Alligator mississippiensis: one gene and its partner. The main gene of each other region encodes a partner of the protein of the gene in region 2 in a complex. Links are inferred from orthologs where the notes say so. Each region holds a gene or a part of one and is shown on either strand. Other genes may lie near its edges.

What was found.
Region 1: DPF3 (region 2) and ACTB share a complex: the UniProt entries of both Homo sapiens proteins name them as parts of the BAF complex. The link is inferred for Alligator mississippiensis from reciprocal best matches to the Homo sapiens genes DPF3 and ACTB.

Annotation. Positions count from the first base shown.
Region 1 is NC_081836.1:53,263,990-53,270,847, forward strand, and holds the start of ACTB (actin, cytoplasmic 1), read right to left. Parts: upstream 3,021-6,858; 5' UTR 2,913-3,020; intron 1,231-2,912; 5' UTR 1,221-1,230; coding exon 1,098-1,220; intron 799-1,097; coding exon 559-798; intron 1-558. UniProt on the Homo sapiens protein: Actin is a highly conserved protein that polymerizes to produce filaments that form cross-linked networks in the cytoplasm of cells.
Region 2 is NC_081825.1:235,931,497-235,938,879, reverse strand, and holds the start of DPF3 (zinc finger protein DPF3), read left to right. Parts: upstream 1-4,365; 5' UTR 4,366-4,499; coding exon 4,500-4,531; intron 4,532-7,383. UniProt on the Homo sapiens protein: Belongs to the neuron-specific chromatin remodeling complex (nBAF complex).

The sequences.
Region 1 (6,858 bases), on a different chromosome or scaffold from region 2:
GGGGTCCAAGAGGCTCGTGAGAGATTGTTTGCAAGTCATGCAAGTGTCATTTTGCTAGACCATTCCCATGTCCCCAGAGACAACAATCATGGGTCCACTGGAATGGGAGGCCATGCCAATCAGTTCTGGGCTACCACAGCAAACCCATCAACCCAAGTCCGAGTCCTGGGAAGAAGTTAAGAACATGGGCAAAAGCCCAGGTGCAACACAGCTGCTTCAGAGAGCCACATTCTCCATCACCCCCCAAAAAACTAGACAGCTACATGGCAGAAATCACTCAAGACAGGTGAACAGTTAGTGTCTAGTCAGAAACAGCAGTTAGAGGAGTTGGTAGTATCAAGGCAGCAAGAGGAAACCAGCTTAGAAGAACAAATAAAACCTGTCAAGATCCAGCAAAGAGAAGGCTCAGGTCAGGAAAGGAAAACCCTGCAAAGAATAGCAAAAAGGGGAGGGGGGGAAAAAAAGATGAAGACAGGAAGGGAGGAGGGCTGGCCAGCAGCTTCCCCACAGGCTAGAGCCAAGTGGCAGAGGGTGGGGGGCTCAGGCCACAGTACACACCTGTGTCATCTTTTCCCTGTTGGCTTTGGGGTTCAGGGGAGCCTCTGTGAGCAGCACAGGGTGCTCCTCAGGGGCAACTCTGAGCTCGTTGTAGAAGGTGTGGTGCCAGATCTTCTCCATGTCATCCCAGTTGGTGACAATGCCGTGTTCGATGGGGTACTTCAGGGTCAGGATACCTCTTTTGCTTTGGGCCTCATCACCAACATAGCTGTCTTTCTGGCCCATGCCAACCATCACACCCTGAAGAAATAATAATAATAAAAAAAGGGGCTACCATTAGTTAAACTCAAACACCCACATCCTACCACGTCTACCAGACTGGTTACTTGGGCTAGGGGCCAGCCAGCTTTTCAAGTGGCTTATAGTAGGGGGAATTGCTGGATGAACCAAGCCATCAACTGATTAAGGAAGGACGTGTCCCTAGAACGGAAATGAGTTGCTTTTTCTCCAGTCTAGGAATTGGAGTCTTTGGAGCCACTCCATTTCTTGGAAACCGTTTCCAGCGTAGAAGAGGCAGCACCCCCTCCCCTCCCACGTACCTGGTGTCTGGGGCGCCCGACGATGGATGGGAAGACGGCACGAGGGGCGTCGTCCCCAGCGAAGCCGGCCTTGCACATACCGGAGCCATTGTCCACAACGAGCGCAGCAATATCATCATCCATGGCGAACTAACTGCAAAGCAACACAAGACAATGTGAGCATGCTGGAGTTGCTGCTCTGAGTAGCTCGTGGGCACTCCTAGACCGTGGTCTGTCAGGGCTGCCAGGCACCACCGCTCATCCTGTCTTGCCAGGAGGAGGAAAGCCCCATGTGGTAAAGCTCCTGCCAAGACAGAGCTGCAGACCCGGCCGCCTACCCCACCCATTTCCTCTCTAGCTTCCTGTTTGCTCTGCGCCTCTTCTCCAGCCGGCCGCGAGGGGGAGCCCAGTGCTGCATATTTTGCCTTTGCACAGATTTGGGACAAAGGAAGTCCCTGCTCCAGTCTCATATTATTACCATAAAAGGCAATGGTGAGAGCGAGCTTTGCAAGGAGCCAGTGGCACGGCGTGGAGCCAGCTTTTGGGAGGGCCCCCGCTCGCTGCCAGCCACTCCCCTCCCTTCAAAGGAGGCCGGGCCTGGCCACTCCCTGTTCCCAGCACTGCTGTGGGGGTGTCTGTCTGGAGGCAGGCGTGACAATGGAGGAGTTGCGAAGGGCAAGTTCCCGACACCCTGCTCTGGGCTCCGGCTCCCCGCCCTGCGCAGCCCCGACTAGCGCAACTAGTCAGGCAGCCACGCACAGGTGCATTTTGTGCTCCATCAAGTGGGGCAGCAGCAGACCCGCCCTGCCAAGCTTGCCCAGCAAGTTGGCTCTGGAGCACCTCCTTTCTCCCCACGCCCCACTGAAACAGCCAGAGCGTTATTCTAGCATTACAGTCCTTGCAAGCTGGGAGGGCCCCTGGGGCACAGCCCCGGCCAGGCTCAAATGCCACCTCAGACCCAGCGGAGAGTGAACTGCCAAGCCCATTTCTACCCTCGTGTGCCAAGCAAGGGCACCAGGGAGTGGAGTCCTCCCCTGCAGCTGGGGCAGGGCGGCTGGGCATTGCCCCCGTGCCAGGGCAGCTCCCCTACAACACTGCTGGAGCAAAGGGCACCCCCCACCCCTGCCTCCCAGCCTAGGAGCCAGGCACTGGGGTGCAGAGACCCCACCCTACCCAGCGCCCGCCAGCAGCTGCGGGCAGCCCCTCCCCACGCATGGGGGGGCAGCCACCTCCCAGAGACCATCCAGACAAAGACCCTCTCCCCAGCAGTGGGAGGAGCGGCTGCTCCGCTCGCCCCATGCACCCAAGGCTGCCTTCCCCTACCCCCACCGCGTGCGCCCAGCTCCTAGCAAGGGAGCCGGGCACCTCCAGCCCTGCAGCAGGGCCAGCAGTGGGTACACCCCCTCCGTCCCAGCTCTGACCATTTCTTCCCCACCCAGCCCGGCAACAAATCCTCTTAAGAGACGCACTACAAACACCTCGCCCCCCACCACACACAGCTGGGGTACAGGAAGGGTGCTGGTGTTGCAACCCCAACCACCAGCACTCCCCTTGCACCCCCCACCATGCACAAGTGGGGTACAGGGAAGAGGTGGTGGTACACCCCCAGCACCAGCCAGTCATGCATGGTTGGGGTGCAGGTTTTGCAACCCCACCATACAACACTAGCACCCCCCACCATGCACAGTTAGGGTACAGGTTTTGCAACACCCCATGCACAGTCGGGGTACAAGGAGGTGGTGGTTTTGCAACCCCAGGAGCCTCCCAAACCATGCAACCCCGCACCCATGCCCCCCTGCAAACACCCCCCTCCCTGGGCCCGGGCCCGGCGCTCACCGGGCGGCTGCAGGCGTCGAGCGGTGCTGGGGTTGGGGCTGGCGGTGCAGGCGGGAGCAGCTCGCGGCGACAGCAGCCGGCCGCGCGCGCCGGGTTTTATAGGACCGAGCGGGCCGGGCCCCATCGCCATATAAGGCAACTTTCGGAACGGGCCGCGCTGATTGGCTGCGGCGCGCTCAGTCACCGCCGCGCGCGCACATTGCAGCAGCCCCCCCTCCCCCGCGGGCCCGGCGCCTCCCTGCGCTGCCGCGGCCGCTGCTGCACCCCGCCGGCCGGCCGGCACCCCCGGGCAGGGGGCAAGGGGCAGGGCCGGGCCGGGCCCGGAGGGTGCAGTTGCACATGCAAAACAAGCCTTGGGGTGCATTGCACGTGCAAAAAAAAAACCCCAACCCTGGGGAGCCAGCACTCAGTGCAGGGGGAGGATGAGCCCACCCTGGTACCCAGGAAAGCGCGCCCTTAACCCCCTTCCAACTGCCCAGGGTGGAAATGGATGATGTTGAGCATTGGCAGGCAGTGCCATGCCGTCCCCAGGTTTCCATTATGGGGGTGGTCGGAGCAGCAGGGATTTGGGGGGTCCTGCCAATTCCTGCTTCCTCTTCCATTCTGGTGCAAGGCCTCGTGTGGTTGTGTTTCTGCAAGTCTGCATTTCGGTATCGTACGGGAGACTCGTTTCCAAACAAAGGCAAGGTCACCCCGCGAAGAGCCAGGAGCCGAGGGGCTGCAAAGCGTTTCGCCTCTCTAGGACGCGGTGCAAACACGAACTGATTAAATCGAGTCAATGAAGCAGTGGGGGAGTGTGGGCCTCGACTTGCAGACTGCTGTCAGTTTTGCAGCGCGGGCTTCAACCTGGCAGCAAGGTTGTGCCTTGGATATTGGCTCTCAGCAAAAATAACAGCCCCTGGAAAATGGTACACATGAATTTCTAAGTGACACGGGGATGGGCAGTGTGCTGCTGAAGTGGGGCGCCAAGCTGAGCGTGCATTTGGATGAGGATGCGATGCAGTAGGGAATGGGGTTAGCAGGGCATCTGGAGTTGCGGGGGGGGGGGGGGGTGCTGTTTGATGACGGCCCAGCCCTGCCCTGCCAGCTGAGTCACAAGGAAATCAATGAGACTTGATGTGAATAAGGCCTACCTGAGTGTGTGTGTGTGTGTGCAGGACATTCATTCATATAAGGTGAAACCTGGAGGGTTTGGCCATTGAACGGTTCCTTCCTGTAAAGTGAGTCCTTTTTTGGAAGAGTTGGGGGTCAGGGCGTTATCTCCCCAGGGAAATGCGTGTCACCCTCCCTGCGCGACATGGCACAACACCGGGGAGGAGAAAGCAGCAGGGGGAACTGTGCAAATAGTTGTAGAGCACAGTTCTGCAATTACCTGGGTGGGGGTAATTGTGTGGGACTTAACAAGCCATTTATGGATGGGCCGGACTGGTTTCTCTTCCTATTGGATCCCTATGCAGAGCCCAGCTGACTTCCTCAGCAGCCCGTGTGGGGCATGTAGCCTGCCCAGCTGCCCCAGGGCTCCCAGGGGAGCTGGGAAGGGCCACGTGGGGTCTCAGGCCTTTGGCTTCTTCCTTCTCCCTGTGTTGAGGGACCCAGAAAACAGCCTGCAGGGACCAAAGGCCTCTGGAAACAGAAGTTCACCTTATAGTGGCAGGGCGAGGACAGGCTGTTCGACTCTCGGCCCTTGTTGCAAGGGGTTCATGTCTTCAGATGGGGGGTCCGCACCTGCTGCAGTCTAGTCGTTGTGCCACCTCCGACTGCAGGCGGGCACTGAGCCAAGCATTGCTTTGGGTCCTGTCTGTGAGAGGAGCATCCTGACACCGCCACGCGACTGATGATCCAGAGGGATCCCCACAGTTGTCAGTGGAGCTCGTCCAGGTAGGCACTGATGGAACCGAGAGCAGAACTTGGCCCTTTGCAAAGGGTCTACACGCACCCTGTCGGGACAGAGAGGCACGCAGCGGGTGTCCAGCCTGGTATCACGATTCACCCAAAGCAACACAAGCGGCATCTGGAAGGAGCATGGCGCACGAAGGGGCACACGCATTGCACCGGGGTGTGCTCCGAAGACCTCTGGAGGGTCCTTCCAGCCGTACTTCTTTATGGCACAAGCATAGTCTATGGAGGGGAATCCAAAGGGCCCAGTGGACCCAGTGCAGGAGCTATGCACGGGCTCTTAAAGGGCATGGCAATCGCACGCTCCTCCAAAGAGGTGCTACCCCTAAACCCATACCCCTACCGACCTGCCCTGTATCTCCTCTAGAGAACATACAAGGGCAAAAGTACCTCATCAGAAATGTCCAGCTACAGGGAAGAACACAAAGGCTTTTATAAAAACTCAAGGTTTTCTTTAACACGAGGAGAAGGCAGCCATGCGACGTGATGGGCAAAGCAGGGGGTGTGCAACCAGGAGCCCCGGAGGTAAAACCCTGCCTGCCCATGTCTGTCTCTGTGACGTGGGGCAAACCCCTCCAGCTCCGTGACTCTCAGCTTCCCTATCAGTAAAACGGGGATCATTGCAGTTAATTAGCCCGTTCCCAGAGACTTCATTAATATCCCTGCCCTTCTTTGGAAAGGCTGAGCCTTGCATATTATTAATTAGAGGATTATGTCAAATAAAAGCAACCACAAGGCCCGGGTGCGGGGTGGCTGTGCAGAGCAGCAGGGGCCGGATGAGGCAAGGGGGAAGGTTAAGTGGAAGTGTCCATCAGGGATGAGGTGGGGACAAAAAACATCCTGTGAATGCGGTGAGGCAGGGGGAAGCGCACTCCAGCCCTAGGAGAGGCTGCCATGCCGCTTCACCGCCCTTCTCCGCACAAAGGCTGAAGGGAGCAGGGACCTGAGGGAGATCAGCATTAATGAGGAGCCGGCGGTCTCAGGGGGCTTCCAGCAAAGGACAATAGGCGAGAAGCTATTGATGATCAGCAGGGCCAGATGCAATTCTGGGAAGGGGCTGAGGACCTGAGGAGAGGAGTCTCCAAAGTCTCCTTGCAGCCATCTCTGGGGACTGATGGAGAACAAGTGAGGTGGGAGAATGGCAGATGTAAGATGGTTATGTGGGGGGGAATTACCAGCCAGCTAGAATTGCCTAACCTCACAGCTACAGCAAAGAGCAAGGTACCCGAGCTGGAAATACCCCAAACACAATAATGCGTCCGCCCTGTGCCATGAGAATTTAATCTGAATGAAGATTGCAAGAACCGGCCCCTGACGAGCAGCAAGTGTCCCCGGTTCTCTCACTTCCTCCGAGGTGGAGAAAAGCCAGGATTGAAAGGCATTGACTACAAAGGGGATTTGTTCCTGAGGGTGCAGGTCACGCAGATAACCCAATCCATGTGGGGCTGTGGCTGAACAAACTCTCCAAGGCATCGCATTAATGCTCCCACTGCATAAACTCACCCAATGGCTGTGGTGGAGTGTGTATGGAGCTTGCTGGTGGGTTGTGCTACAAGTGCCTCCTAGAAAGGGGACAGGCAGAACGCCATGGACACTGTGGGTGGGAGCAGAAAGCCAGGATCTCATCACTAAACATGAATGGGGAGCGCTTGGAAAATTGGGACAATTTAGAGAAGGCCAAGAGGGAGAAAAGAAGACTGAAAGGGAGGCCTAGGGAACAATCTTTGAAAGCAAGATAAGATGGTTGTAAAGAGGATGGTGAGCAATTGTTCTCACTGTCCTCTGAGGATTACTGAGAGAGGCCGTGGAATACGTACAGGTTGAATCGGGATGTCAAGCATCCGGCCCATGGGTCAGATCCAGCTTACAGAGCCCCATCATCCAGCCCCTGGTGCTGCCCTGTTAACCCATGCACTGTGCCAGACTGACCCTGTGCAGAGTACCACGGACACGTGCCACCCATGGCACTCACTGGGACCAGGTCCCAGGCTGTGTTACAGGGGATGCACAGTTGGGCTGGCATCCCAAACCAGCCCGGGCAGGTGCTATA
Region 2 (7,383 bases):
TTTGCTCACGTGAAGCAGCTTCTCCATGGGGCAGTGGCCCAGGGCGCCTTCCCCGAGAAGCAATGCTTTTTTTTTTGAATGAAACAAACTTGAATAAGTGCTGAAAGCGCCTGTAGTGGGCTATGCTCTGCCACTTGCATCGGGTGTTTGATGCCAGGCTCACTCACACCAACTTCTCCTTGTATCTTTTCTCCTGCATCCTCCTCCTCTTCCTCCTGCTGCTTAGATTGCTTGATTATTTTCCCCCCCAATTAAGAAAGAATGAAAAGCACTTACAAGTGCAGAAGTCTGAAGGGGAGTAGGTTAGAGGTGCCAATCCAGTGGTCTCAAGTCTCCATTGAACTTACATGGAGGAGCTACAGCTACTTTTCTCCTGTAGCAGTGAATCATATTGCAAGCCCTACTCATTAGGTCTGATTTGGAGACGAGTTTCAGCTCCTAAAACTATTCATGCTCTGTATATATAAAGTTTGAATACCCAGACTTCGTATTGATAGAACAGATTCCACCCACTAGGTTTATATAACCCCTCCCCTACTACCCCGCTCCTTTTTTTAATTTTAAATGTTGGCTTTAAAAGTAGCTGGCAGTGCCTTGTTAAGTCTGTCTACCTATTTTATTTAAAGATTTTAAAATCATTTTCATCTTCTTGCATTCTCCTGTGATTTCAGTTAATGATGAAAGTGTGTATGTTTTGGTGAGCATGTGAGGCAGAAAATACAATTTGTGATGGTGCAGGATAAAGGTTTTATTACCACGAGTAATCAATGGTTGCATTAATTGCAAGTGGTGAAGCCATGAGTGAATAGGTTATTCTAAACAAGAATCTATAATAGCTGATGCAGCATACCAGATCCTTCTGTATTTTTATGATGCATGCATTCCTGGGACAATATTTTAGAAATGTTTGAGGTAAAACTTACTATTTGTATGCCTTTGCCAGTAAAGCTAGATGCCTTAGTTGCCGATTAGCTGTATTCTGCAATGCTCTGATATTGCAGAGCTGCCCTCTAGCTGTGTAAAAAGACTCTCAAGTGGCATAACAGTCCTGTAGATAGATCTGTGCTGACCATTGGTATATGAGATGTGGCTGGGAAAAGCAGGCAGTGTGGGTTTCTTATGGCCAGCTTATGGGCCCCCATGCCATTGGCTATACTGTCAGTCAATTTGGGTTGTTGGGAGTTGGGACTGGCCCAACACCTACATGACTTAAGGTTCAAGGAAGCACAGATATGGCTTAGAACTATATTTTCAGCCTTCTCCACTGCCTGCAGCTCAGGGGCCTATGAGTCAAACAGTACAGAACCCTGAGAGACTCATTAAACTCACAGAAATGACCTACAACAGCTTTTTGCTTTACCTTTAAAATATTACCATTTGATGGTACAATATCCTAGGACTTTGCATGGTTGGATGTCTCACCTTTCCAGAGCACAGCTCATAGGCCTTCTTTGACTCTGCAGGCATTTGGGATACGTTAACTTATTTATTTTTCACATATAAAAAGCTGTCACTGTTCTGAGACAGAATGATACTTATTTTGGGTCTCTGGCTAATATGCTAAGCATGCAAATATTTGGTTGAAATTTGCTTCATAGTAAACAGAAGAACCACCAACATTGTGTGTGAGGGCTGGCTGTACACCTGAACGCAAAGGTGTAGCTTGTGGGGAAAAGAAATAACTTCTGGAACAATATACAGTAACATAGTATCTTCTGAAGGTGCTGGGGGTAGGGGGATGGGGGAGGGCAGAGTATAAATGATATATAGAGATGGATTAATGGGAAGAGTATAGGTGAAACAACCAAAGGAGTTTGATATAATCCTCACACATGTAACTGCAGTTCATCATAAGATTCCAGAATGAATTATTATATATAGCATCTAGGTGTCAACTTTCTGTAGGCAGGTGGGTACCACAAATATAAATAAATGTTATGTGAACAAATCCATGACCACCTGGTGTCCCATGGTGGTAGTGTTTAAGTTTCCATGGAAGTAAGATTTTTTTTTGTGAGGATGGAGACAGAGCCAATTACCTCCCACAGTTTTAGCTACAGGAGTGGTTCTCAGCCTTTTTAGACTCAGTGAACCCCTGATTAGGCTCAAGGCACCCCTCTGTAACTTTTGCAAAGTGAGTGGCACCCAATTTCAAAACCTACTGTATTTATTTCAGTACTGACCTCTGTGCAGAGGGGCCAGGCAGTGTGGATGGGGGTACAGCTAGGCAGGGAGTTTCCCCGTCTGCTTATCTTTTCACGCCTCACTGTCAGTATATCCTTACACTTCCTATGGCATCCCAGGGTGTCCTGGCACCCTGGCTAAGAAGCAGGAAGCTAACAATCTCTGCCAGCAGGATAGGGCTTATGCCATGCAGTGAAACAGTTATGATGTCCTCTACCTTGGATCATTGGTACACATACACATTAACCTGTTCGTTTCTGTTTCATATATATCACTTGCCCATTTACAAACGCTTTTAAGTTTGTGGATGATCTTCCTTGCAAGCCAAGCATAAGAAGCCTGTTGTACTCAGTGTTAGCTGAGTGCTTACTATATTTTATAGAATCATACAATAACACTTACTTCCCATGACTATGTTTTGGGATGTCCCAACAGCTTGGAAATGCTGTGATGCATGAAAATCTGGGTTCTGTAGAGAAGTGCTTTTAGCCAAAAGGCTTATGAGGAAAGAGTAGATCACCTTCAGGGACAGAAGGTGATCTACTTAGATGAAAGAGTAGATCACCTTCAGGGATAGAAACTTGGCACAGTAATTTGTTTAATCTGTCAGCTAATGAGGCAACATTCTTGAGAAGAGGGACGGCAGACACATTTGAAAAGACTTGATCTAGCTTTTTTGAAACAACCCTAGGGCAGGGAAACAAATGTGTACTCCATCGTCTCTTTATTTGACTCCATCCTTCCCTCCTTGTATCTCCCCTCTTGCATCTTTATCTTGTTTGCAGCAACTTTTTTTTCTGCTCACCCCTTACGTCGAAAAAATTCCAAGGTATAAAAAAATAAGATTTGTTATAACCATTTTGGCCCTTTCTTAATTCAGCTCAGTAGTCCAGAACTGCTGCCTCTACTTATTTTGCCACCTGAATATATAATGAATTATTGATACTTCCATTGTTACTCTGGTTGTCTGAATGATTATAATCAAATCTTTATTCTTTTCTCCCTCATGTTGGTACAAAAGCAGTGTAACTTCTTTGATTTCACTTGAATTTCTCTTGATTTGTGATCTTCTGTTTACACCAAAATCAGGCCTATGTTTCATTTTTTTGAGGGTCAGAGGATGCCTGAAGGGAAAAAAGACCTTTGAGGTAGTGAAGTTTTGCATGAAAAAACCCTCCACTAATATCAAACCAAACTTTGTGGGTCTGATTCAGACTTTTTTTAGGTCAGATTACACTGGTGTAACTTCATAACTTTAATGGAGTTGCCTCTAAGATGCACTGAGATCACAACTAGGCATCTTGCGAACCTCTTAGCTCATGTTGGATTATTCACTTGCAAAGTCTTAGTTACAGGCAAACCCAGACTTCCTGGAGTTTGGTGACTCTCCTGTCAGTCAACTTTAACGGCACCTCATCTGCTGCAAAACTACTGGCCTCCAAGTTACTTTGCCACCACAAAACTAGGCGTCGTAAATATGAAAGTTAAAAGCCTTCCTCCTCCCTTTCTCTGCTGAAGGATCAGATGACTTGGTCTCAACATGCTAGCCCAGGCGATTAACTTGAGAAGTTGCTTTGTGGGAAAAACAGAAAACAAGCAGGCAGTTGGTTTGGCCACTGTGCATTATGTAACCAGTGCACTGGCTGCAGGAGCTGGATGACTGACATTGAGAAATTCCTAGGGGAGGGGGGAGGGGGTGCAGCCCTAGAGTCACTGTGAGCACTAGCATTTCCAAGAAGCCTAAAGAGGAAAATGGCTTTCAAGAAAGGGAAACACATTGGGGAATAATAATGAAAAGCTTCAGGATCTAATGCGGAATCAAATGTCAATACCCATGTAATTTATTTTCCTGGTGAAATGGCATGCATCCAATCCTGGCATGTGAAGAAGGGGGCATGCCATCTGGGAAATGCAAGGCAGCGACAGCAAGGCAAAGAGACAATGAATGACCCATGCTTTATCCCCTACTCCTCTCTCTCTCTCTCTCTCTCTCCCTCTCTCTTCTTTAAAGAAACAGTGAGATAACTGCAAAAAGTCTTTCCCTCCTCCCACTCACCCCCCCCTCACTCAAATTCGGGGCGGTGACAGCCCTAGGAGTGTGAACTGCCCCTTTAAGACCTGCTCTCTTCCAGTTCTACAGAAAGGGAGTGACCTCTGGGCTTTGACAGCTCCCCTAATAACTAGCAGAGACCGAGCTCCGCCCGCGGCCCCTGATTGGACCGCGGGCCGGTATCCCGCGCGCGGATTGGCTGGCCGCTTCCCCTGAGCGAACCTTTAGAACTCCGAGGCACAATATTCTGTTACATTGTAGCAAAATGGCGACTGTCATTCACAACCCCCTGAAAGCGTAAGTAGGAATCAAAAATGTACATATTCCGCGTGGTTTCAATATGAAAAAAGGCGCCTTTCCGCCGCTCGCTGCCAGCCGGAGCCGGGCGCCTGCAGCCTCCGCGCGGCTCTCCCCGGCCGCCCTCCTCGCTCGCACCCACTCTCTTTTTGTGCCCCGCGCGCGGGCGCCCGGCGCTGAAATTAACGAGAAGAAATTGTTATATTTGTCTCCTTAATTGGCTCGGGGGGCTGGAGGGGAGGGAGGCGGGGAGGGTGGCCCCGGTGCTGCCTGGCAGATCTCCGGGATGCGCGCACCTGGGAAACGCCGAGATCCCGGAGGACCCGGCGGGGCTGCGTGCACTTGCCAGTGTCCTGCGCCCGCTGTCTGGGCGCCCGGGGCCGGGGGAGGAGGCTGGGCTCGGAAGTCGGCTGCGGCGCCGCTCGGCTTCGCGGCGCTGCCACCCGAGCCAGGACTTTTCTTTCGCAACTGGCGCGGAGTTGGGACGAACTTGGCGGAGCGGGCTGGGAGCGGGCCGCAAGGCCGGCGGCGCAGATCCCCGGGGGCGGGGGCACCGCGGCAGTGCTCCGCCACGGCCGGCCTGACACGAAATGAATGAGCCGGGTCAGGGCTGGCCGGGGCACGGCAGGAAGTGCGGAGCTCTGCTTTGCATGTGAGCGCCTTTCGCTTTGACAGGGGCCCGCGGGGCTCGGCTCTGTTTCCGGCTCGGGAGGGACCCGCGGAGCCCCAGCGTGGCCGGCTCCGGCCGCGGGGGAGCCCGGGCGGCTGCTTGCTAGGAAACGAGAGGCGGAGAGTCGGGGGCAGGTGCCTGCGCGGCACAAACCCGCGGGGCTGCCCGAGCTCCAGGGAAGGCGGCTTTAAAGCAGGAGGGAGGGAGGAAGGAGACACCAGAGCAGCCGCCTTGCCCCGGATCGCGTCCCTGCTTTCCCGTCTGCCGCTAATCCCCGACGGCATTAGGGACAGTGGGGTTCGCCCCGGCCGTGGGGAGGCCAGAGGCTGCCTTAGCCCGGTGGAAACCACTTCCCTGCCCGCTCGTGGCACCTGGCGCGGGCGCCCTGGAGTTTTTAGCGATGCGATTGCGGCGCCCTCGCAACTCCGCTCCCTCGCAGCCCCGTTGGAGACGCAGCCGGGGGCTTTTCCAGGGATTCCCCGCTGCTGTCCCCGAGCGAGCTGGAGCGGGGCACGCAGCCGCCGCGTTTACCTCTCTCCATTGTGGCAGCAGCCCTTTACTCACGTGAAGCCTCCTCCCTACGGGGCAGCGGCCCGGGGCGCCTTCCCCGAGAAGCTGATGCTTTTTTTTTTTTTTTTTTTGAAAGAGAAAGAAACCTGAATAAGCGCTGAAGGCGCCCGCAGTGGGCAGTACTCCGCCACTTGCACCGGGTGCTTGATGCCGGGCTCTCTCTCATCAACTTCTCCCCGTGCCCTTTCTCCCGCAGCCTCCTCCTTCTCCTCCTGCTGCTGCTTAGAGCGCTCGAGTATTTATTTTCTCCCAATTAAGAAAGACAAGACAAGAAGAGTTAGATCGTGCGCATTCATTGTTGGCAACTTAGGTGCCTGAAAACAATCTCGACTATACACAATACAGGTTGTTGGGTCTGTCTTTGCCCCTCTCTGCGGGGGAGGGGGGAGCTGAGTTTATTTACACCCTTATGGAAATATGAAGAGTTGGAAGGTTGGGTCTGGTTCCCCTTTTGGGAAAGTCATTCAGGCGCCGCTGCTCTTACGGGCGAGCTGCCGAAAAGGGATTTGAACCTTACTGTAGAGAGAGAGAGAGAGTGTCCGCGCCGGGCTCCCCTCCTGCTTTCGTGGGGGCCAAATGGGGATAACTCCGTTCAAGTCAATGGAGGAAGCCGGCGGGAGAGTGCAAGAAGAACGGGGGCATGGTACGAAGGTGTCACCCTTACTGCAAGACGTGATTATGGACCATTAGGTTGCCCCCAGATATATTTGGGGCGCTCATTACCTCCACACAGTAATTTCTAACATCAGCTGATAGATCCTGCCAATGTTTTGTGTGCACTTACATTCTTTGGGGGCCTAATCCTGTTGCCACTGAAGTCAGTGGGAGCAGGGTTGGACCCTTTATAATTAGCTCTTCCCCCCCCCTCCTTCCCCTGGGGTGAGAGGAGAGGAAACAATAGGCATCAAGTGCAGGGTTTGCTTTTCTCTGTATGCCTTTTAAAGTATGAACACTGTGCAGAGGGAGCAGGATTGGAGCGGGCCGTCTGACACCATCTGTCTTTTTTATTAACTTGTTTAATAAAACATTTTATAATTTTCATTTATTCTTTAAAGTTGCTGATCAGGAAACAATACACATGTAAATAAATTATGCATGGGATAAATTAGGACAAAAGCAGTAAGACACATAATAGGGGGGAAAGGATGCAGTGCACAGTGTTTTAGCCTCATGTGTCCTTCCTGACAATGAAAGGGAGCTGAATGACATTTGCATTTCCTCCGTCTGCGTTTTGATTGTGTCTCAAAACCCACAGACGCCCCCTACAGAAACTGGCCACACAAAGGTTTTGCTCTGCGATAGGGGACAATGTAGATACTATAGGCTGAAATCCTAGCTCAGGTATCATAGAATCATAGAAAATGAGGGTTGGAAGGGACCTCAGGAGGTCATTTAATCCACCCCCCTGCTCAAAGCAGGACTGTCCCCAGCTAGATCACCCCAGTCAAGGCTTTGTCTAAGCTGGGTCTTAAAACCGTCCAAGGATGGAGATCCTATCCTATATATTTTATGCATTTATCTACGAACAGTGTTCTATCTTCAGCACAAAGACACATGGGTTACTCTGTTTATTGGAGGCTAGTCCTTGTGGGATAACATATTCCAATATAGC